Linked DNA regions of Drosophila melanogaster. The protein of the gene in region 1 interacts with the protein of each later gene in a pairwise test. Each region holds a gene or a part of one and is shown on either strand. Other genes may lie near its edges. The genes, in order: Cp15, scb, CG13671 and cpb.

Evidence for each region.
Region 2: the proteins of Cp15 (region 1) and scb interact in a two-hybrid assay, tested with the Drosophila melanogaster proteins (one large-scale study listed by BioGRID).
Region 3: the proteins of Cp15 (region 1) and CG13671 interact in a two-hybrid assay, tested with the Drosophila melanogaster proteins (one large-scale study listed by BioGRID).
Region 4: the proteins of Cp15 (region 1) and cpb interact in a two-hybrid assay, tested with the Drosophila melanogaster proteins (one large-scale study listed by BioGRID).

What each region holds. Positions count from the first base shown.
Region 1 is NT_037436.4:8,725,902-8,731,003, reverse strand, and holds Cp15 (chorion protein 15), read right to left. Parts: upstream 2,524-5,102; 5' UTR 2,478-2,523; coding exon 2,466-2,477; intron 2,395-2,465; coding exon 2,059-2,394; 3' UTR 1,938-2,058; downstream 1-1,937. Other genes in the region: Cp19 (chorion protein 19), read right to left, coding at 486-992, 1,082-1,096; Cp18 (chorion protein 18), read right to left, coding at 3,477-3,980, 4,155-4,169. UniProt on the Drosophila melanogaster protein: Chorion membrane (egg shell) protein; plays a role in protecting the egg from the environment.
Region 2 is NT_033778.4:15,245,675-15,252,429, forward strand, and holds the start of scb (scab), read left to right. Parts: upstream 1-3,109; 5' UTR 3,110-3,621; coding exon 3,622-3,809; intron 3,810-6,755. UniProt on the Drosophila melanogaster protein: Integrin alpha-PS3/beta-PS is a receptor for laminin. Also binds to wb. Important during embryogenesis for the development of the trachea, dorsal vessel and salivary gland, as well as for dorsal closure. Required for short-term memory processes.
Region 3 is NT_037436.4:8,297,371-8,304,051, reverse strand, and holds CG13671 (uncharacterized protein), read right to left. Parts: upstream 3,989-6,681; 5' UTR 3,937-3,988; coding exon 1,840-3,936; 3' UTR 1,711-1,839; downstream 1-1,710. Other genes in the region: CG7194 (uncharacterized protein), read left to right, coding at 62-230, 562-1,433; Arl5 (ADP-ribosylation factor-like 5), read left to right, coding at 4,762-5,301; Rab19, read right to left, coding at 5,828-5,932, 5,981-6,237, 6,433-6,517, 6,580-6,681.
Region 4 is NT_033779.5:1,702,211-1,708,605, reverse strand, and holds cpb (capping protein beta), read right to left. Parts: upstream 3,705-6,395; 5' UTR 3,495-3,704; coding exon 3,492-3,494; intron 3,476-3,491; exon of another isoform or gene 3,329-3,475; coding exon of another isoform or gene 3,326-3,328; intron 3,207-3,325; coding exon 2,379-3,206; 3' UTR 1,829-2,378; downstream 1-1,828. Other genes in the region: CG17660 (uncharacterized protein), read left to right, coding at 1-144, 204-324, 392-545, 608-834. UniProt on the Drosophila melanogaster protein: F-actin-capping proteins bind in a Ca(2+)-independent manner to the fast growing ends of actin filaments (barbed end) thereby blocking the exchange of subunits at these ends.

The DNA.
Region 1 (5,102 bases):
CTTGGCCAAGAGTTTGGCCCCAAACAAGTCAGCAGATGCGATTGCTTACCAGCCAGAATACAGAAAATATGAAAATGAGCGCGGCAATCGGCAAACACGGCGAACTGTGGCGCTTTCTGGCCTCAAGATTATTGACTGACTGACACAATAAATAATTGACTGTTTATGGCTTGCTGAGTGATTTGCGAGCGAACCGGAGCAAGCAAATCCGGAGCACGTTTCCGCCGAGCCACTCAAAGACATTCCCGGTGGCGACTGCAATCAAATGAACAATGCTCCACCCGCTCTGAACAGCTGCTGCAGCTGCATTTGAGCTCGAAAGACCCGAAAATTTGTTTTCTCATAGATATACAAAAAAATACCTAAAAGCCCCGAAAAATATATATTCCAAATATGATTATGATTTTTTCTTGTTGTTTATTATGTACACGATCAGGCTGAGATCAAGTATCCGCCAGGTTGGCTGGGGATAATCAAGTATGCGCTTAGTAGCCGCTGCTGCGGGGTGCAGAGTACTGGCTAACGTACTGGTTGCCATACTGGTTCTCTGGGACGAAAAGCTTGGCCACTGGAGCAGCAGGGCGGATGGGCAGGATCACCTTGCTGTACTCCGGGGGCGAGACGTAAGCCTTGTAGTTGTTCTGGCCGGGGTACAGGAGGGTGGCACCGGCGGGCTGGACAGTCCAACGGGGTCCGTAGCCGGCACGACGGTAGTTGCCACCGTTGTAGCCACGTCGCTCACCGCCATATCCACCGCTGACCTGGATGGGACGCAGGATCTCGGGGGCATAGCTGCCGCGGTAACCGCCGGCGATGATCTCCACGGGGCGCTCATAACGCTGCTGACCCTCGGCTCCAGCAGCAGCTGCTGAGCTGGCGGCGGAGGCGGCGGAGCTATCCTGACCGTAAGATCGCTGTCCGTAGCTCTGCTGGCCACCGTAGTTGGCGTAGCAGCTGCCCACGATGCAGGCGCAGAAGATGACTGCCAGAGTCTGGAAAATCAGGAAAACTTTCAGTTAGCATAAGTCCGGAAAATGAAAGAGCGGCAGGGAATACGGAAGCGGTTCTCAGGGACACTTACAGCGAACTTGTTCATGGCTATGATGTATGGGTTTTGGCACAGTTGGCTGAATTAACATATTAAATGGCCAAGCACACTTCTTTATATAAGCAAATTTATTGTTGCACTCGAAACGTGATCTCGCCCAGAAATTTATCACGGCTCAAGAGCTGGCTTCGTCGTCTCTTCTCGGCCAGTTTGTTGGGGAACTTTCTGTGGATTTCTAGCTTTTCCTAGCCAGATATCGGGGCTCCACGTTGAGCTCGTTTCGGCTCGAGCAGGTTGCTCACCGCAGCGTATCGTATCGCCTCCATTCGCCGGTTGACCTTCGTTGGGGGTGGCAGATGCAGATGCTCCCAACTGAGGCCCAAAATCAATGGTTGCATTTGGGTGCGTGCGGGAACGCAAGCGGGTTAATGGGATAACGGGCCAACGACTGACCAATGGTTATTGGATATGGATTTTATAATATTATCTATACCTTCAAGTAAACAGAACAAACCAAATTTTAACGATAAAACATAACTTCAGAGTCTATGCCTTTATGCACATTGGCAAATATGTTATTGTAATATATATAGCCCTTTGTTTGATTATACAATTTAAGATGTTCGTCTAAGAATCTATTAGTGAAACTAAGGGTTTCATAGGTGACTAAATTCTTGAGTCACTGAAGCTTAACCTGTCGACTTTGTAGCTTAAAGTGCAATAGTACTTCTATATAGTATTGTACAATCTGCCGCAGTGAATATTCTAGCTGCCCCACTTTGAAACCCATCTTGTGTGTGGAATAATAATAATGACCCACCGCTAAATCTTAACCCGAATGCGCTGAAAAGTATGTCACAATGCAAAACACACAATACGTATTTCTTTTCGGTATTTTCCATTGCGTTCAAGCTGCTTTTATTCACTGATTCTCAGAGTTTCGCCATGACAGCCACTCGAGGATTTTAGCAAGGAGTCGATAGTTCAATTCACTGCCGATGAAGCGAGAATTAGTAAGCACGTTGGCCGTAGCCGTGTCCGATCTCGTAGCCGCGAGCGCCATCCAACTCGTAGGAGGGAATGGCGTACTGCTTGTAGGTTCCGGGATTCACGGCAGCGGCGGAAGCGGCGGCAGCGGCAGCGGCACTTCCTCCATTACCCTCCGATCGCAGGCTGCGGGGATAGCTGTTGTAGCCACGGGATGGTCCGTAGGCGGGCACCTCCTCGTAGACGACGCGCTGAACAGGACCGTAGCCACCACCGTAGCCACCACCATAACCTCCACGGTTGCCGTACGCTGGGCTGGCGTTGATGTAGGCGAAAAGGGCCAGGGTAACGCAGACAATCTGAAGGTGAAAAGGGGAAATCCGGAGGATCAGTTGGCTGCCACTCCTTCACGGGGACTACCACAACTTACCAGGTACTTCATGGTGAGTGCTTAGTTTTGTTGGTTTGGGGTAATCAATCAAACTATGATTTACCGACCAGAAACGCTCGCTTTTATACGCAAATTTTAGCCTGGACATTTACGTGACCTATATACACTAATTGTTCTGTTTCAGCCCAGAAATGGCATTTCATAATTGCCCGGCTGGAATATACTCACATTTGATTTATGTACTTGTTGTCAAGCCATTATAAAATCGCTTGGTTACGCGATGTGCTATTCTACCGGGTGTTGGGTAGTGATAGCACTACGAACACGCGACTCTTCCAAATGGGAACCACGAACGCGTTTATTTTCGAATACAGTCCAAAATTTGTTGAATTGAACTTTATATTATCCACATTCTCGGGGGTAATGGTTTCCAGGTCGGTTGTGTCCGGAACTTGGCTTGTCTAAGTGAGGATTCTTCTAGAACTGGTTCCAGCCGGTTTTTCTGATAAAACCTATATAGAATCATCCCTTTAAAGTGACCACTAGTCACATACAAAACTTAAAATTATAACTAAAACATTTTAAAGTATTTCAATCATTTTGAAATTTTACAAAAACATAATTTCAAGCAAAACTATATTCTATCTAATCTCATTTTATCTAATAGGTTCTTTACTTATGGTAACTTAAAAAAGTCAAGGCTTATTTGACGAACTATAGTTTTAAAGTGGCCCCACAAATGAATTTAGTTTTAGCTTTTCAGCTTCATTCGCCATGAGAATTATTCTTTAGCACTTTAAGCAGCATTTTCATTTAACTACGAAACCACGAAATTTTTGCTGGCTCAAAGTATCGCTTGGCATTGCAATGAACCGCAAGTCTATGCCAATTCAGCTAAGATATGCAGATCTCAATTCTCGGCCCGAAACTAAAAACCCAGCAAGAATACAGTACTCAAAATTTTAAGTCTTGATGTTTTGGCTTTTATTATTATGACCTAGTTCCTTATGGGCAGGTAAGTTTTTGGTTCACTGTTCAACGTTTTGCCACTTAGTAGCTGGGCCTCTTGTAGCCCTTCTTTCCGGCGGCCACGGAGCTGGCAGCAGCGGCTGCGGAGCCTCCCTTCACCTTCTCGCTGTGTCCGTACTCCTGGTTCACGTAGCTGGTGGGGGGATAGACGGGCTGGGCGTAGCGGGGAGCCTCCTTCCAGACCAGAGGAGCTCCAGCGCTGGGAGCGGCCAGGGCGAGCTTGGCGAGGGCAATGGCCTGGGCATCAACTGGTGGGGCACCGCCGTAGCCGGAACCGGAGTACTGAGATCCCACATTGGCACCGCTGTAGGCAGAGGACACGGGCACAGGCACCGACTCGTAGGCACCGCCATATCCTCCATGGTTTCCGCCGTATCCACCACCGTATGAGGGAACGATCGCCTTAACGGTCAGGGCAGGCTGCACCTGGTAGGCATAGCCACCGACTGGGGCACCACCGTATCCACCACGGGAACGTCCGTAGGAGTTGGCCGAAACGGCAGAGATGGCGCAGAGGCAGATGCACTAAGGGATTCAAGAAAAAATTCAATTAATTTGGGTTTAGACTGAAGTGTATTAGAAAAGAAAGATCCAATCATATTATCCAATTATTATAATATGTAGTTATATTTTATTGAAAGGATCATACTGGACTCAGTTGAGGTGTCAATAGAAACAATATTGGAACTTAAGGCTTACCATGAACTTCATCATTCTGAGGCTGAGTTGGTTAGTTGATCGATGCGAAGGTAACTAATGTCTTATTCTGGCGCAATGTTTTGTTTTTATACCAGATCCAGGCAGAGGCCCAACTCTTACGTGACGAATATGATGCAAGTTTCGGCTCTCCGGGTTCCCGCAGACGCAGTTCCAGGCCTCGCCTCTTTGTCCAGCAATCTTGAGACGCCGCCGGAGACGTGCAGCCAGGCCGAATCCGCACTGGCCAAAATGCTGGCTCTCAATTCGGGCCGGTCCAGATAGCAGGCGTCTGTGCTTACGCCATCGTCTACCAGAGACGAGACCCATTACGTAAGATTCCGACCGCATGACTCTTCGTGCTCCGGATCCGCATAGTTTCGATCAGTATTGCAGTTGCTTTGCCCCACGGTGCCGAGAGCTTGACACCGATTTTTCAGTGACACAGTGAAGTCAAGGCAGTGGCCTGAAAATTCTGCTGCGTTGGTAGAATTTATATACAAAAGCAAAAAAAATTGAGATAAAATTACAATAAAATTATAAACACAACCGTTCCACTTTCCAAACTGCCGCACTAAGCTTTTTATAACATTCAATTGGCGCTACACAAATTGTGAATGGCTTATGGGCGGGCGCAAACATTTAATAATGAATAATAAATTATTTAGATGTTGGCCAGGCTCAGGGTACCAGCATCCAGTAGCCAGAAGACGAGTGAAAACGATCTTTCTCCGTATGCATTTTCTCTTCAAGATTGCTTTATTGGGATTTAAGCTAGTTGCTTTGCTCTTAGGAATTAAGTAAAAATATTATAAGACTGGAAACTGGAACTAGCGCCAACGACGACACGATAAATATTAAATAGTAACATTATTCGCAATACAATGCAAATGTAAGTCGGCTGAAACCTCAAGCCAAGATTGACGGATCTGAACATCCATCACAAGTCCG
Region 2 (6,755 bases), on another chromosome or scaffold:
AACAGATAGTCTGATTGTTTTATGACGACAACGTGCCGGGCGCAGCGAACGAGTGCCAATGGCGACACTAAAGATGACAATTACAATTGCCGATCTTGCGGATCGGAATGGCTCATTTGGAGTGATATTGTGGGATTCGAAATACGAGATTGCCTTTCGGCTGGCCCTGAGCCAAAAACAAAGGAACCCCATCAAAACGGTTCAATTACATGCCATAGGGTAGCATCCAGTTGCTGAAGTGCACGCAAATATCTCACATTACACACTTGACATATATTTCGGTAGGGCATACGAGAAGAAATGGAGATAGAGTTCGTGTTTGAGATACAAGTACATTTCCAACCGGAAGGAAAGCAGAATGATATTGCTTTATGACTCTATCGAAAGCGAAAGTGTTTCACTGCTGTCTTTTTTCGCACGAAAGCCTGAATTATGTGGGCGTCGTCTGCCACTCAATCGGCCTCCGATATTTAGGCCAGCAGATCAATTACGGACTGGTATTTTTATGACACCTATTCAACCTGTCGCCGGCGCTCGAAATTTTGAAAGGGTTGGCTGGTCATTAGTTTTACGACTGTCTCTTATAATAATTTCTGCGCTTCTCTCGAAGGATCTATTTCCATAGCCACTAATGTGCAATAAGTTCATTCTCTGCCTCTGCCTGGAAATAATATTTTTACTGAGCTCAAACAAACCCCTCTACCATTATATATGTATATAAATTGGTGACGTCATAGGAAGGTGAACACCTGCATTGATTCACGGACGTGTTTAGTTTTTTTTTACACTTCCTTTTGACATTTATGCCTGCCCAGAAAGTCCAAATAAGGCGCCGCTTTGCGCCTCAAGCTCACGTCGACGATTCGATAAATATCCATTAGCACTTAGAGAAAAACTGGACATTTTACCACTTAAGAAATCGACATATAATATAATAGGTGCAATACAGAATTTTTAGAATAACAAAAACTCAAATTATGACTAGCTATACTTTGAGTATGAACCAACACTTTTTTTTTAGTGCAGTTTGCACCGGCACCGCTGTTGTTGCTGACTTGTGACTCCGATTCAACCATTATATACACAACTCGCTGATAAGTGTCCGCCGCTAACAATAGTCACAAACTTCCGCCAAGTGTAACGACAGATTGCAACTGGGAGTTCTATACGGATCCATTTCAAGGGCAGCTCCCCCATTTGATGCACATCGTAGCTCCGGAACATTTCAATTTGCACCCTGTTTCGTGCTTTTGTTGCCGCTACTGGTTGCATCTGGAGACTGGGATGTGCGCCAGAAATAGCTGCCCCCGATAGCGGAGGATGGGGGGTCATGAACTTCAATTATGTGCCTGGCAGTGTGGCGTGGCACCTCCCCCTTCTGCAGTTGCGGCCGTGTTGCTGCTGCTGTTGCAGCAATCGCTGTTGTTGCTGCTGGCGTGCAGTAACACATAATTGCTGTCAAATCGCCTGGCGGGCGCTTAATTGCGCATTTCAATAGCGGCCTGGTCCAAAAAAACACTTGCTATGCGGCGTTGGAAAACCGAATTAGCCGCCCTTTTGAACTTCTTTTGTTTACCCGAATGAATCGCTGGCAAACATTCAACTTTCGAACTTTTAAAGAGAATTTTATTTATGAATCGTATTGGGAGCATTCGACTTGTGAATTGAGTTTTATGGCGCGTAATCGGCTGTTGTAGTTTCGCTTATCGGTGGAAACGACTTGCCAGACCTCAGACCCCACTTTTGTTTTATTAGTTTTTATTGTTTTACATTGACTTGATAAACGGCGGGCTCAGGCTGCGTTGAAAATGAAAATCAATTACTGGGCGCACAAACAGCCAGCGATCTAAGCGCGGTTTTCCAACTTATCAGCTTGAGGCAACCGATAGCTGGAGGAAAAGTCAACTAGAGTACACCCCTGTCGATCTAATTGAACCCCTGAACCACTGAACCCCCCGTGCTGGGCACAATTTCATGTCACCGGATCGTAAAGTTAATAAATTGTGGTCACCACCACCCAACCTACCCCAATGATAAACGTTGAACGGATAAGGCAGCACGAGGGGCATATACTACTTTATACTTACAATAAATATTTGCCCTGGGGCCCGCTGATAAGCCATTTGATCACCATGCCACGGCAGCCAAGTTCAATGACAGCAGTACGCCGTTCAATTCGGGTGGCCATTTGCCTGGGAATCGTGATCGGCATCCTTTATGTCCGCCATATGCTCTCCGTTTCCACTGGCACTCATCCACATCCCGAAAAGGAATCACTCGGAGAAAATATTTTAAAATACGAATGTAGATTATTTAAAAGTAGAACTAAATAAAGAATAAACATTACTTATCTTTTAAGTATAATACATAAGAAATAAATTAGGAATAAGTGCAATAACTACGAACTAACAAGTACATTTCCATAAAAACAATTTCCTTTCTCTCAGTGTGCAGATCTTGATGAGCCTTAAAACATTGTAAATATTAATTATAACCAAATCTACCAGATGATGAGGAACAAATAAGCTGGCCTGTTTCCATATATATAAAGTCGGGATTCCTTCAATGAGTATTAATAAGAAAATACGGCTCCCAGTTGGAACTCCATGGTGACAGGCGTTTGCTTTTTTACCCACTTACTTGTACTCTCGCACTTGGGTGTGCGTTTATTTGTGTGTGTGCGTTCGTTTGTGTGTGTGCGAGGGTGCAGCAAACGCGTAGGGGGAGTGTAAATGCAAGTAGCGTGCGAACAAGGAGAGCCACCACCACAAATGGTCGCAATCGAATTGAGAATGCACTGACAAAAACCGGTACTAGATATACCATAGTATTGTTAAACAAAATCAAGTGTAGGTATAAAATATAAAGCACTAATAGACTATATATAGATAGTTCTTATAACAATATATTAGATACTAAAAAAATATATTTGAAAACCTTAAAGTTTTATTGTTATTATCAATGATCATCAGAAATCTCAGCGCAACCATGTTTGTAAACACACACTACAGCAGGTCAGAACATCTCTTTCGACCATCGTGTTGGGTGGACACATCGGCCAGCAGAATCGACGGTCGTCCAAGTCTGCTGCAGCACTTGAATTCATTTCATTTCGGTTCGGGTCGTCGAAGAGTGAAAACGTCCAGCACTGATCTGTTGCCCCGTTTATGGACTAGCGTTGCGGAAATAAAACACCATATATGCTATAGGCTATATGCTATATGCTATTTATTAGCTATTAGCTACACATCAGTGCAGAGATACGGCGCGGTCGAGTAGTGCGATTAACAACGACTTGTCGCCGGCAAAAGTGACAAGAGCCAAAACAAGTTTGCCACCTAGATCTCGCGAGAGATTTGCGAAAGCCGCCGGCTGGGCTTAATTAAATTAATATAATTTCGAGAGAACGCCGCCGCCATACAGCAGCGATCTCGAGTGTGTGAGTGCTTCAATTAAATTCAATAAATCATAAATAAGTGAGTGCCAACGGATCCTGTTTCAGTGGTGTGGCTCTCTGGCGCAATTGTGATTTATTGCCCTCAGAAGAGCCGGGGTCCATTCAAGTGAAATTACCAAAATTACGAAATTACGAATGCGAAAACTTAATTTTGATGAGTTCCAATGAATGCTGAATCGACAATGTTCCCTCACATATTCCTCGCCCTCTTGGCTCTGATCTCTCACATCGAAGCATTCAATTTTATGCCGCGACCCAGTCGGGTGATAAACTCCCCGAAGCATCTGAAGTTCCACATAAACCAGACTCGCAGCTCCTACTTTGGATACACGCTTGTCATCCGCCAGACCAGGTGAGTTACCTATTTTCCAGCTGTAGATCGCGGCAAATATTTGCATACATACGTGTAAGGGTCTGGAGGGAGATTCTTCCATACTTCGAAAACATACTTATTTCGATAACCGATCAACATATTTCTTATGTTTGACGCAAGACAAGCGAGTGCTTTCAGTTGCAAGCCAACACACCTCTGTCAATATTTTGAAACTTCTGGCATACGGAAATGGAAACTGAAGCTTGCGAAAGGGGATCGACAGAAGTCGAGGCTCGACAAAATTAGTATCGGCTTGGGTGGTTTATTGGCACTTAACACTCGGTCGCTCTATTTGCCAAGAAATTAAAATGTCATTTTCGCCAAGTCGTAAATGGGTGCTCAGCATAGGTTGTTCGAGTTTTGGGACAGAACTCTCATGGCATGTCGAAAACCCCAGCTTGAAAACCTCTCGAAAGCAATACCACTTCAGACCGAATTTTCTAAAAATAACAAAAAAAAAAAGAAACTGTCTACTTCAACTACAATTGCCACAGATCCGAGAGATCGCAACTCCGTCTCGAACAATTGACAAACCCGAACAATTTTCAGTGAGTCGGGCGACCTACATATCATATGGCGGCTACTTTTGTTGGTTTGCGGGCCCCAAAAAATGACATCACACACCTCAGTCGGCGCCACAAATCACAGTTAATTGAATAAGAAGAAAGTGGTCAGATCGAAGCTCAGATACGCTTTTTAAGATATTCTCGAGATATCTACTCTGTATTCTCTCTTAAACGAAAAAGAGAGATGATAGTTCATGCTTTGTAATTTATGTTAGAGTAGTTGAGGTTATGTATTTGCCAAAATTCAGGCCACAGCTTAGATACAAGAACTACTTGGTCAGTACAACCTTATCTGGTTTTAATTGAGGCGATCAGTAAACCTGGTTTGAATGCAGTACTCGTACGCGATCATAACGAGCTAGCTTTTGACCATATTTTATTTCCATAAACCTGGATGGGTAATTTGGAACTTCCTCTACAGTTCCCGCTCTTCCCCCCCCCCCTACATTTTTTTGTATTACCAGCACTTTGGATCCCAAAATACCCATGACTCTTGGCTATTACGAAGTGCGCCTAATTATGTACGGAAATTGCGCGTAAAATCACGACAAGCCGTAATTTATATCACATCAATTGAAGTTAGCTGAAACAAACAAAAAGTGTAGTTCTTGTTTACGGTCTCCCAATGAAATTAGGGCTGAATTCGAATCCAATGCGGGGGAAGTGCATCCACTCACAGTTTCCCAACACCACTTGCATTCTGGCGAAATGAGTCACAAATGTTTCCAATCCGATTTGGAGGCGATGGCGTCTGCAGACCTGCCCCCATCCGCATCCCCGCCCTCCGAAGAGTTCGTCCGTTCAGCTGACACCACACACAAATATTTTTAGCCGTCTTACGCTGGGTCATTAAACCGAATTCCTTATAACAAAAACAAAAAAAAAACACTGAAGACTCCACAACGGAAAACGGTGCAGCATGGTGGCTTTTGTTCTTAACATTTGATGACCGCACGCTGCAGCGGTTCTTTGTTTTTGTTTGGCTGATGGAGATGGCGCTGGAGATTTGTGTGGTCCGCAAGATGTTTTATTGTCCGCGCACAAAAACGGATAAACGTTCCTTGTTCGGCATTTAAACAAAGCGCCATCGCACCAAAAGCGTACTTTTACAAACGAAATTATACTATTTAAAAGAAATTTCACATTTCAATTATGTTAGCATGCTGTTGTATGCCATACAACTATTTTTTAGAAGACAATTTGCAAAGATATATAAAGTTGCAATATATTTTAAAATACTTTAAGTTAGTTTATTTTTTTAATAACTAATAGGTTATAATTGTAAGGTGACTGTTTTGTGAAACAGATGGTGAAAAAAATATAGTTCTTCAAAAAGTCATTCAAATCTTCCTAAAATAAATTAAGTTAACAGTTGTAATACAATTTATTAAGTTTCTGTTTAATTTCTGCTCACACTGAATTGACCACCGCTGTAGTTATGCACAAAGGCCATGGAAAAAGTTGGGGCTTGGGGGCAGATGCGTGTGCAGACATGGTTTACTTGGCCATGACTCATGTTTTGGGAAAATACGTAAGCGACAACCCATACTTTGTATTACAGCTGAGATACGCCGAACGTTCAGTCCAAAACAAATGTTGGCTGACTGTTTTTAGGCCTCACACCACTTTATATTCAGCATAAACAATTTCTGGATCAGGTAGCCAAAGTGGCATGTGCTTGTTATTCGCCTATTTAAATATGTTGACTCTTTTTTTGAGACTGTCGTTTTTTTTTTCTCGCATGCAATTAAGCTCCAACCATTTGACTCGCGCCGAGATGCGGATAAAGTTACGCCTGAAATCAGGCCGGGAAATAAGTGCATGCATGGTGACTCATCCGACTGACTAAGCCACCGACTCGAACGGGGGAAAACTTGTATAGATAAGTAAATCAAAAAGTCAATCGAGGTGAAACTAAGGCTAGAGAATTATGAAATGTATTATGTATTCGTATTTTGCCAATAACAAAGGTGTCATCCATAGTTTACTTTTACTGACTGTTTTAACAAAGAAATCAATACATTTTTTGAACTGTCTAATCTCAAATTGAACCTCATATCCTGTGAAGTGGGTTTGAAATGAGTCAGTCAATGCAGCTGATTAAAAACGATTGTTTGCTTCACATTATATGTGCAATCTTACTGGCGTTTTCATAAAAAAATGCAGTAAGTTAGTTTCCTTGGTTTGAATTATTATTCGAAGTTTCGATAAAAAATGAAATCAGTTAAATTTAAAAAGTGCAAAGGTTGCAGTGTTAGAGCTGGAAAAATAAATTCTTTTACAGTTAAGACTTATCTTACATTTTCCGCTCCATCTTGTCCTATTAGTCAGCTTTTGCTGCTTAAGAAAACAAACAATT
Region 3 (6,681 bases), 430 kb from region 1:
CGGCCTCATTCGTTCCTAAAAGTTTTGATTTGGAAGTTCAACGTTAGGCTTCTGTGAAAAAATGAGTACCGCTAATCATTTTCAAAGAATTCTTGAGAAATTGTCAATCTCTGACAATGAAAGGGCCGTATATACCAAGGAAGCCGAGGAAATTCAAAACTATGTAGTTGACGAACTTAAGCGGGTAGACAAAACCTTTCGCCAGGTATTCGACGGACTCAGTCTTGGAGGTAAGTTATTTAATTTTAAATATCTACATATATTCTACATATATTCTACATATATTTCTATATAAAAACAAAACAAATAAATAGAATAATGTTAGTTACAAGACATTGTCTGGTCGATTTTCTAATGCATTCAATATTATTTTTAATAAAAGTGTAAATTGACGGAAGTAATACAAATGTAAGTCGAGATAATCCAACGCTATACAATTACAATTGATATCTCTTGCTTTATTTTGTTTTATCATTTTTGCAAGAAATGTTGTACTTTCGTAAATTCATCGTTATGTATGTACATTATGTACCTAAAAATATATGTACACGTATCTTTTAGGAAGTTACTTGGATCGCGTCAAGCTAAATTTGCCCGATGAATTTGATCTGCACATGAAACTAAAGTTTCCATTTGATATCCGACCGACTCGGATCGACCAAGGGTTTATTTATTTAGAGGCTGATCTCACCGTAATCAATCCCCAACGCATCCATCGTATTGTACTTCAAGACTGGCTACGCAATGCATTCCGCAAGGTATTCAGGTCTAATCAGACAATTGCCACTACCAGTAATCGAGTCTACAAATTAACCTATACTCTTGAGGGGTATGGTTGTGCCCATACCATTTTAGCCGTTTGTGGTAGTCGCTCGATATCTTTTGATTTGGTACCAGCATTCGAATTCTCTGGAAGCCAATGGCCGTTTGATATTTGCCCGGTTCCTGCTGATGTTAGCAATAATTGGCCATGGTTCGCCATTCCGCAACAGAAGAAGAAGTCGGCTAAACCGAGAACCACATTCATGGTTTGTGCACCACATTGGGAGCGCGAAATTATGAAGGGCAAGGATAATTTGAAGAACGTTCTACGGCTGATGAAAGGATTGCGGGATGCCCACGCCAGGAAATTGCCTCACTTGTCCAGCTACATGTTGAAAACAGTTTTGCTTCATCGCCTCGAAAGTGCTGACTGGGAAAGAGACCTGGGCACCCTATTGGTTGAGATGTGGAGTCATTTGGTGGATCATCTACGCGCTCGTAGACTGGAGTTCTTTTTGGCTAAGGATCATAATGTATTCAATCGTATGAATCAAAATGAAATCAAGATATGTCTAGAAAACGCAAGCACTCTGCTAAGAAAGCTTTGTATTGCTCAGACATGCGGTGGTAGCTACCATCATGTGGCCCAACTATTCAATATTCCAAATTAAGAAGAATTTAATTTCAAAACAATACCGAGCCTTTTTCATGCCATTTGCAGAAAGGAAAAAGCGTACATGCACACATTTGGCTCATTCACAAGGGCGCAGAACAAATATTCGATTATATCCGAGGCTGAATAAGCACATATCTTGCTGAGTAACAGAACTTTAGTGGAAGAAAAAAGAAGTTGAATCAAAAGTCATTTCGGCCGCACATTTGATTGTTTACATTGTCCCTGAACTTTGTTTAAAAATAAAGCTACGAAAAAAAATTGATTTACCCTTTGTTTATATGTATGTATATTTATACAACTATGAGTGTTAAATATCTTATGAAGAGACAACTTTAGCCTTACGATCTACAGGAAATATCAACGGTAACTTTTAACTAAAGTTATATTTCAGGGGGATTTCGCTATAATCGAATGCTGCTTTCGATGGACATGTGCAAGTTGTTGAACTCCCTTAGGTGCGAAAGGATGTCGTCCCGCTCCCGTTCATAGATATCCCAGAATTTGAGATATTGGTTAACGTGCTGGAGTACCAGGTTGCGGGCAAAGTCAAGACAGCTCCTAACGTTACGCATCCGCCGCCTGCAGCTGGTCAAGACCGAACGCACCTGCTGCTCCGGCTCCAATTGGGCGATCACAAATGCAAAAACGTTTTGCACATCAATCCGCACATCGGTTGGGAAAACCACGGATTCCGCGCTCTTTGCCTGGGGGAAGACAATTAGAGACGGCGTGGTTGGCATGGCCAACTCCCAGGGCAGATCATTAGCCTGGCTATCGAAGCGTACAAAGTGCACCTCGGGGCTGCCGAGCAGCGCCGAAACCTGCAGAAATGCTTGGGATAGAACGGCTGACAGAGCGCAGTCAGGACGATGCATAAATACCACATTGGTGACATTTGGTCGCTGGATTGCCTGCAACAGCATCTGTCTATTGTATTTTCTACTGAACCCAGATTCCATCATGGCAAGAGCATTTTTGTGAGTCCTTGGCAATGTTCTGGCGTAAAACTGCCGTATAAAATCTTTAAGAGCTACGTAGGAGAATGTGTGTTGCTGTGGCATAACATACAGTGACTCTTCAGCCGCATCCAAGATGAAAACCTGCACCTGCTGATGGGTTTGCTGAATGCCAAGCTGGTGTAGATAGTCTCTATATTTCACAGAATCGAAGATCACCACGCCCAGCGACCGATTGTGGGCTGCGCGCTCCGTCGAGTGCTGCCAAATGAGCTGGCCATATTTGGTTACCATTTTGGCAATGCCGATTTTTATGGCCGGCGTTCCATGCTGTGAGTGTGCCAGGCAAAGGTTTCTGGAGTGAAGCCGCAGCAAGTGGGGGACGTTTCGATAACTCGGATGGTTCTGGTGCGAGTACTGCCTCCATAGGTGGTTTAGATACCTATTAATCCGATAATAGTTCTTAAGTGTGGTCTTGTTTTTACTCCAGGCCGGGTAACATGTCCGGGTTTGTTCACCATCCCCAAACAGCTCCTTGGGAACTTGATTTAGGGAGGAGGATATGTCTTCAGATTGTTTATCGAATTTTTTCCAGTAGTCTTCGCACCCCTCCGACTGCTTTTTTTGAGCGTAAGCCATCTCCTCGCCCATGACGCTAGCATGGTGATATTGGTTCATTCGAACTCCCATAGCCAGCACGGGGACATGTCGTGCCTTCATGGCGATGGTCATAGGAGTGCCATAGCCATTGGAGAACAGCGACATATTTTTGAGTGTGCTCCGTACCCAGCGCAGAATGTCGATGGTCTTCCATACTCCAGATGTACCATTAAACGTATGAACTCCATTTCGGCTGTCGATAACTACAAACTGGGGCAGCTTGGCCTCCGAGGACTTCAACATCTTCCTGGCACTGTTGCCAAAGTACACGGTGAAGCGGATATTCCTCTCCGGATCCAGTTCCAGCCAGCGCAGACCGGCAGCCAAGTAAAGATTGTAGGCCTTGTCGTCTGGCGAGTCAAGCAGACCCAAAACCACCGCATCCGAGTGCTTCCGAATGGCGGCGAGATCCTGACTACTGTGTGCCCGGTCCAGTGGCTGAAGCAGGTTATTCATGAACCGGGCGAGATCTTCAAAGCTCCACGAGCCCTGGTACTGGAGTAACTGCTTTTGGCCGTAGCGCACGATCAGCGTGGGCCATTTGTCAGGATAACCTCCTGCGCCGGCGACTCCTGGTGCCGGCATCAAAGTACGGCTGCAATTGCACTGCAAGTGCCAGCAATCGATGGCTCCAAAGAAGCCATACTCCTGGTAATAGTGGGCCAGTCCATTGTAGACCAGTCGTGCCTGCCGTGCTTCGCTGGCCCAGGACACGTAGTAAAATAGCAGCGAGATCTCTGACTCTGACGCTTCCGCACGGAGCTGGGGAACACTGCGTCCGGGACACTCGACAATGGGAGCCTGGTCGGATGTGGCTGACCTTGAGGCGTCCAACTGAGCGATAGAGAGAGCCAGGAGCAGCAGGCTCAAAATTATTTTCATTGCAACCGGTGGGAAGCTAATTAGATGTTAAGAACAACACAACAGCAACCGCCGTGAACAGATGTTTGCCGCGAGGATGGCCACACTGGTAACGTCGGTAGTGTTGTTAATAATAATAATTTATAAGTAATGACTAAATCTAAATTTTAAATTTGAAAATAATTCTTTAAATAGGTTCAATATTCAAAAATAACTTGTTTTGGAAATGCAAAAGAAACGTTGTTAAGCACTAAATGGTTACGGTCTCATTAAGCTTTACTTTCTTCCCCACACTGCCCGCAGTTATCGATAGCAGCACTATCGATTCCAAGTGATATTAATTAATCACTTCTGCTGTTTACTTTCTTAATTAAAACTCTGTTAATTAAATTATCAACAACGGCTGTTCTAAACCCACTGCGACGCGTAAACGAAGTAGCGTTTCCCGCTGCAACGAAACGAATGGAAACCACCCAAAGGCAAACCACCTGAAAATCGCTCACCAATCCCCCCAAAAAAATTCCCATTTGGCGAAAACAACAACAGTAATTAGGGTGTGAGAGTGTGGAGTGAATAGCTGAATAGTTAAATCAGTGAATAATTTACCGTACGGCCTTCGCCTTCCCCTGCGGAAACAACAACAAAGCTCAGCGTTCACTTACACCCACACACACGGGTCTACCACGCATACACACGCAGGCCAGCCGATAACCTGTGTGTGAGGCAATCGCCGTCATCGTTCGAAATCAAATCTCTAATCGGTGGAAGCAGCAACAACAATAACAGCAGCTGCAGCATAATCAACAATTGATTATATACGTATATAGCTAAAAATAAGGTTCAAATATGGGACTGTTATTATCGCGGCTCTGGCGGATGTTTGGCAACGAGGAGCACAAGCTGGTGATGGTGGGTCTGGACAACGCGGGCAAAACCACCATCCTGTACCAGTTCCTGATGAACGAAGTGGTCCACACAAGTCCCACGATCGGTTCCAACGTGGAGGAGGTCGTCTGGCGGAATATACACTTTCTTGTCTGGGATCTTGGTGGTCAGCAGAGTCTGCGCGCCGCTTGGAGCACCTACTACACGAACACAGAGCTGGTGATCATGGTCATCGACTCCACGGACCGGGAACGGTTAGCTGTTACGCGGGAAGAGCTCTACCGGATGCTGCAACATGAGGATCTGAGCAAGGCCAGTTTGCTGGTCTATGCCAATAAGCAGGATCTCAAGGGCTCTATGTCGGCGGCGGAAATCTCACGACAACTGGACCTCACCTCCATCAAGAAGCACCAATGGCACATCCAGGCCTGCTGTGCGCTCACCGGCGAAGGACTCTATCAAGGATTAGAGTGGATCGTGCAGCGCATCAAGAACAAATGACCCGCCACACATGCTACATATTAGCTAATTAATCATTAACGACTAGCTGTCTAGAGAAAGTAAACCAATTTTGATATAAACAATTTTTAAGCGTTTCCAAATTGTTTGAAAAGTTGTTGCCAAGCCAATTTTATTTAGTGTAAAATACGTCCGAACAGGAGTCCCTCGATGATTTAAATCTACGTGTATATGGATAATGTCTAGGAGCTAAGCCAATTTAACTACGATACTTCCAATAAAATTACAAAATAAACGAGTTTATTTCGACACTGTCGCATATCAAATTGAATACAAATTACAAATAGAGAAGTGGACGTATTTGCCTCTCTGAGCATTGCCTTGTAATTGACATTGTTGGCTCGATTCGCTGATGTGTGAGATTGTTTGTACTCTATCGTCAAAAATAAATACATGGTTGTGTAAAAGTTAGTGTCTAGGATTAGGTTAAAGCATTAGAATACTAATATATAGCCACAAGAACAATTTGATCACAAAAGTAAAAGCAAACTAAAGAGCGGATTTAGGTCTAGGTGAGATTGCATGAGCTGCTGCAACTCTTTAAAGGCTTTCCCTGGCCCAAGGTGATGGTGTTTTCTGGCACCTCCTCCACATTGTTGGCATCGTGTTGGCGCTGTAATTGGAACATCATTAGCTTAGGTAACAATAGCCGGAATCGTACTTTAAGTTCGTTGGCCAGGCAGCGGAAGGCGTCCTCCACGTTCATGTTCTCCTTGGCGGAGGTCTCCATCACGAACAGGATCTCAGGTATATATTGACACATCTGGCGCGCCTCTTCAAAGTCCACCTCGCGCTGCTCCTCCAAATCGCACTTGTTGCCCACGAGGATTATCAAAACATTAGAAGCAGTGTATCTACGCACTTCTTCGATCCATTTTTGCAGATTGGAAAAGGAAGACCGCTTGGTGATGTCGTAAACTGTCAGGAGGAAACACATGGTATTCAAGTAGGGTAAACAAACACCCCGCTGATAAGGCGCTTCGCTATTCAAATCAGTGCCAGGCAATCACTTTAAAGCGTTCTCTGGTTATCAGTAGTACCTATTTGGCATGACAAATGGATGGGCGTATGCCTATGCCCGACGAAACAAAAGATACCCATACTGGGACTCACCAATTAAGACCCCGTTGGCCGAGCGATAATAGCTCTGCGTAATAGTGCGAAACCTCTCCTGACCAGCAGTGTCCCAGATTTGTAGCTGGAAGAGGGGCAGAATATGAGTCATATTAGTGGCGGGATCTGGGCAAATCCGTTATGCACCTTGATTTGTTTGCCCTCCACGGCGATGGTCTTCATCGAAAAGTCCACTCCGATGGTGTTCCCATGTCGCTCTATGTAGTTCCCTGTCTTAAATCTGTCCAC
Region 4 (6,395 bases), on another chromosome or scaffold:
GAGCTACTTGCGTATCACCAATGTGAAGACCGATCGCAGCGAGCTGCTGGTGGCGAGCATTCCACTGGCGGTGCTGGACACAGGAATATGCTGGTGGATATTCACCTCGCTCGTGCAGACAACTCGCACTCTCCGACTGAGGAGGTGACTAATGCCAATGATGAAATCTCAACACATGCGCTAACAATGTGTACCTTTTCCAGGAATATGGTCAAGCTCTCACTGTACAGGCACTTCACCAACACGCTGATCTTCGCTGTTATCGCTTCCGTCATATTCATGCTGTTTGCTTTGCGTTTGCGTAGGGTCGAGAATTGCACGCCTGTAAGTTGTTGATTAGCATGAATGGAGCTGCGAACAGGGGTTTGCTGATTTCGTGTTTTTTTTTTAGGGCTGGCGCGACATTTGGGTGGATACTGGCTTTTGGCACATTTTGTTTTCGGTTCTGCTGCTGGTGATTATGATTCTATGGCGACCGACGAATAACAACCAGCGCTATGCCTTCACTCCGCTGCTGGATAACCCGGAAGACGAAGACGATGAGGGTAAGTTAGAACCCGAACTTCTGCTGCAAACAAGGACTAATTGACTCCTTAACTTTTGGCAGACGAGGAGGATCAGTTCGTCGCGGATGCCTACGGCGTGAAAATGCGCGGCCAGAATGGAACGCCGAAAACGTCGACGACTTCACGAAATGCCACGACCACCGAGGAAGACGACCTGCGCTGGGTGGAGGAGAACATACCGTCTTCGATGGCGGACTCGGCGTTGCCCATCCTGGACTCCGATGAGGAAATCATCAACACCAAGTTCGAGGTGTCGAAAATGCAATAAGCTGTGACTTTCGCTGGACCGAAGAGACTTTTTACGCATATTTTTGCACATTTTCACGCAACCGTGTCTCCCGCCAGCAGCTATGTATTTTTTAGTTCTATCCGCCATTGAGGAGGAAAACCCCTTATTGCTGCGCTGCGCTGACACTGATCTTCCAATTTCGAGAACCGTCTGTCCGGCCACGCCTTCTGAGCCCGTGTAAAATAATGTATGTAATCGTAGTTCCTTCTACGCGCACGTCCTCCCCCCCTCTAAATAAACCTAACTTATTCATAATACCTAGCCTAAGTTGTAGATACCTATGCGACGATCCGAGAACTTAATTTAAAAACTTCGACTTGAATTCTTGTGCTGCTGCCCCTAACTACACTCGCAAAGGTGTATGAGTGAGCTGTTGGTGGTCGCCTCATTGTATGTATATAGCTGGTAACACAAGACGAAACGATCTATATAAATCTACGAGTATATTCTGTAATAACTATGATAAAACGCGACTATGCAAAGATTAAAAGTAATTGTCTAAGTAAGCACACAATCGTTTGCGTCACACACCTCAAGGTATTTAATTACATATTTTTAATCAAACGGTCTCCGATTTTCATAAATAAATGCAAACGTATCTTAAAGGTAGCCATGAACCAAACTCGCCATGTTTTTCTTTAGTCCTTATCTAACTAGCTTATGATATGATATGTCGTGACTAAAAGTAGAATATGGTATACATCGATGGAGTGATGTGTAGTAGTTTATTTTATATATCTTATCTTTTGCGATAATATGATGTTTTCCCCCAATGAAACCACTTCTAGTTGTAATTCAATATTTATTAGTTTCTTTGTATAAAATTTCTCTTGCCTTCCAAATTTCAGTTAAAAAATATTAAGTAAAGAAGAAAGGTAATGTGCATTTCCTCAGATAATACAATCACAAAGCGATTTCAGTTAATATTTTGCTTCGAGCGCCTTACTGTTAGATTACACACAAACACAAAGTTACAATTAATAAACACAATATTTATTCGCGGAAGGATTAAGAACGAAACGCAAGTGCCTCGACTTCGGTGCAAATATGCATTATTACAAATAAGATACAAATACTTATGGATACTGTCTTGAGGGCGGCGAAGTTGGCATTTTCGGCTGAACTCTGGATGAAGCGCGACTCCAAACGGCAACAATGTGGGAGGACAGTTGAAACGGGCGGGCAAAATTTACATTAATGTGCTTCTCGTGGTGTAACAATTTTCTCATGTAACAAATTTACTGCCTAGAAATGCGTATTTAATATTTTTTAGTCAGCTCTTTAGTCCAGTCCAAGCGGAGTCCTCCACGGAGCTGCTCAACACAATTGGGCGAGTAACAGCGAATTGGGTGGGTGCAGCCGAAATATTATGAAAATTATTTATATTTATGACAATATTTAGTGGTGACAACAGTGCCTTGCAATTCGAATATTGCTGCGCTCTTCTTGGGAGCAGCCAGCTTGTGGGACGCCCCTGGACTGGATTGGTTTATGTGGAAATTCAGCCTTCAGCCGCTCAGTACTCAGTTCGATTCGGGCTTGACATTGCGTCGCAGGATTGCCGCTGCGAGGTCCTGCTTCATGGCCGCCTGCTGGCGCTGATCGGCCAGTGATTGTGTGCTCCTTAGTCCGTTCACGATGTCCTTGGTCTTGCCAAAGTAGATCTCGTTCAGGGTGTTCCTGATCTTGTTCTCCATCTCCTCGACCATCTTGCCAATGTTGGCGATGTGCGGCGACGACTCGCTGACGTTGGCGTCCTGCTCCTGCTGCCGGGTGAGGGATCCGCCCAGATTCATGGTTCCCGAACCCTGTTTGTTGGTCTGCAGCCAGAGCATTGCCGTGGAGGTGAGCTTGTAGTGGGCCGTCCTGCCGGTGGTCTTCTCCTGTACCTCGACCACATGGATGGAGTCCCAGCAGCCGCGGATCATCTTGCTGCCATCTCCCGCCTTTTTGATCAGTATAACGGCGGCAAACCCGTGATCCAGATCCCATAGGTAGACGGAGGAGACGCCTCCCTCGTAGTACATCTCCCTGTACTGATCGAAGGCATAGTTCGCCTCGATTTCCAGTTTGCGCAGTCGTTCCGAGGGCATTTGGCCATCCTCCAGCGGCGGATAGTAGGAGTTCGACCAGGGCGATCTGTAGGAGTCCCCATCCCGGTTATAGTCGCACAGCAGATAGTCCTTGCCGTGCTCCTTGTCCTTGGCGATCTTCAGCGGCTGGTCCACGGAGGAGAGCAAGTCCTCGCAGAGATCCGGTGCCAAGTCTATCAGATCAATAAGGTTCTTCTCGATCTGCTGGGGCGGCAGCCTCCGCATCAGATCCAAAGCACAGTCCATCTGCATTTCCGACTGAGAAGAGAGGAGAAGAGACACCAGTGAAATTGAATTTGAGTCACTGCACCACCGCCGATAAGAGAGCCCAAAAAATCCCTCCGCTTTCCACTGCCACCCGGCAAACCAGGGATTACCATATATGGGCATTATTTGAGGCCACAGGCCGCCGCCCCTCTGGAGGTTTTCTCGGTGGATTAGGTGATTGCCAAGAATATTTGGCTTGCAGAATGGGCGGTTCCGACCAAAAACACCGTTTGTTGGCCTGCTTTTTTTTCTTGTTACTATTGTAGTATTACTCACCATTTTGGTACTTTCTGCTTTCCCTTGTTTCGATAGTTTTACACTGTTTATGTTAGGGGCCTGCGTTCGCTGAGCAGGGCCGATCTTAAACTCTAGCTAGGATTTCGGGCTTATATTGCAAGTGATTGCACTAAATTGACTCTTTTTCCTTATTATTAGGATTTTTTATTTTTGCTATGGTGTGCTAGAGCTGGAACACAGCCCGATTATTATGCGATATCGTTCATTTTGGTGGAGCATCGATTGCTCGCTCGATTTGGTATATCGATTTCTTACCCGCTAACTATCTAGCGGAAATATTTGAAAATTAACATAACGAATGGCAGTTACTTACTTACAAAAGGCAATAATTTGCAGTACACTTTATAAAAATAAACTCTGGCACTCAATCCGCCCGAAATAAAACCATGGTCTTACTTTTATTATATTTTAGCAACAAGTTTATTGAATTTAGTTTTCGTTCATATACTTTTATGCTTAATTCCATTCTGGTTGCCCATTTCCTCTCCGTGTTTTGTGAGTTTCTGTTACAATGCGTTTGGTTTGTGTGTGACTGTGGGTTTAGCTTACTCGTAGTTTTTAATATGTTACACAAAAATGTATGGCATAATCGTAAATTTTTATCCGAGTTCGTGTTTAAAATATATTTAAGCTGCTTCGCTTTCGCACTCTTCAGACATACATACATACTTATTTAGAAATCATATGCGTGCTCCGAAAACGTATCCTTCTGAATCGATCCTTGGATTTCTTGATTTTTACATTAATTTTAGCCAAATACGTAGCGTGTGGGATTTTGCCTCGTTAGTAGTAGTAGGTTCAATAAACTTAATTAACCGCTTTGGGCTTAGACTCGCGCTTCAAGTGCGCTCTTTAGGTGTATACTTCGACCATATACGATAAATGTAAAATCTCAGACTTTAATTTTTAACTAAGGTGCACTACATACAGAAATCGTTCAGAGAAATGTGAACTAAATCGAGGGATTTTTTTTCGCAGCTCTGGATTTTTAGCCAGGATAAAAACTGTTACAGGTGACTTGTAAAATTAGGGCAGGTTTCACTAATCTCGAATAACTTAGATAATTATAATTTGTATTTCTTAGTCGTTCTTTTGAAGTTTAATATTTCGGCTAATTAATATTGATTTATTTACTTATGCTCTGTCGCATGCTAGACACTGTGCCAATATTCGAAATCAAAAGCGGTTTCAGATTCAATAATAGTACATAACTCCATTTTCAATCGTATTTCTCGTTTCATCGTTTTTCTTTCGCTCAATAATTATGCAACACTTGCTTATCAACGCTTCTTCGACAATCAAATGTAATCACAGTTTTATGTTTTCCTTCTTTATATAAACTCATTTTCATTTAGCTATTTATTTCACTATTTTCGCATTTCGCGTCGAGTATGTGTGTGTGTGTGTTTCTGTGAGTGTGTTTGTTGTGGCTTGTTCTTCTTGACTTGTGTGGGTGGTAAAACTAAAAATTCTTAGGGCTGGTTTACTACACGCCTAGTCCTCATGTGCTTCAAAAACTCACCTAACCTTCTCTCAATCCTCAATCTTCAATCATCGATCCTCGATCTTCAACCTTTCGGATCCCATGCTTATGAACATCTCAACTCACTGATCCTTGCCATGATCGCATATTAGATTATTAATACTATTACGTATTTAGAAAACTTTAAGAATATTGCACAACTTGTGAAAATGCTGATTCTGACTTCTGACCGACTGCCCGCTCGATTCGTTATAAGTTTTTAAAAATATTTCATTTAATATTTAATACCTGAGTTGTTCATAATCGTTTCGCATGATTATTACATCCGTTTTGCGGTTGCTTTCATAATTTTTTTTTTTTTTATCGTAATACATATCGAAAAAGTTTCTGTTTTTCTTCTCATTATTTATTTTTTTTTTTTGTTTGTATTAAATGCATGTATACATCGTCGTGAGTCTTGATAATGCCCTGAGTTTGCTCCAAACGGATTTGCGTTTTTTTAAAACTATTTTTTTTTTTGTTTTTCGTTTAACCTTATGCACGTAAAGTACTTCTCATTCCGAAATTCCCTCGCAAGTGGACCGTTGTCGTCTTTTTTGAATTCAAGTGGTTAAAATTTCGTTTGGGTAATTCGAAAACTTTTCAGTTCAGAACAAAGTAAATCGAATAGTTCATGTGTAACTCAAGTTCTGTTGCATTCATTCTGGTTTCAAAAATAATTGGTCCAAATAAAGGAAATCAAAGGGGCGTAATCTGTGTGGAAACTTAACTTCAATCCTAAAAAGTCACACCAACTGTTCGTTTTTTTTTTTGACCGACAGCCTTGCTTAAAATTTTAACTTTATATTTATGCCGAAAAATTTGTACGATTTCCTCTTTATCGTTACCTCGCCTCTATATATATTTAATTAATTTTAATTTATCTGCTAAATTTCGTTTGTTTTTCCTGAAATTTTGTACTCGTCATTGTTCCAAAAGTTTTTGTAGTTTTCAAGTGTGACTTATACGCAATACGAACGCAATTTGAATGGGAAAACCAAAGCGTGAGTTCAAATAAAACAATCAAAATACACACATTAAATATAATTTGTACTTCCTTCGATCCATCGTGTTAGACAAATTTACAACAACTTGATTTACACACTGAGGGGCGCAGGGGGAGACGTGGGGGGAATGCTCTTCTATATATGGAGTATACACCATATGCCATATATACCATGGCGTACATACAACTAGCTTCATCTTCAAATTTCGCATTGAACTGAACTGTAAAGTTGCTTAGGCCTAAACACATTGATTTTGTTCATAAAAATTACTTTCGATAGTCGTAAACTTTAGTATACATATTTCGTTACATTTATGTTTTTTTTTTGGGGTCGGGTTTTTTGGGCATAATCAAT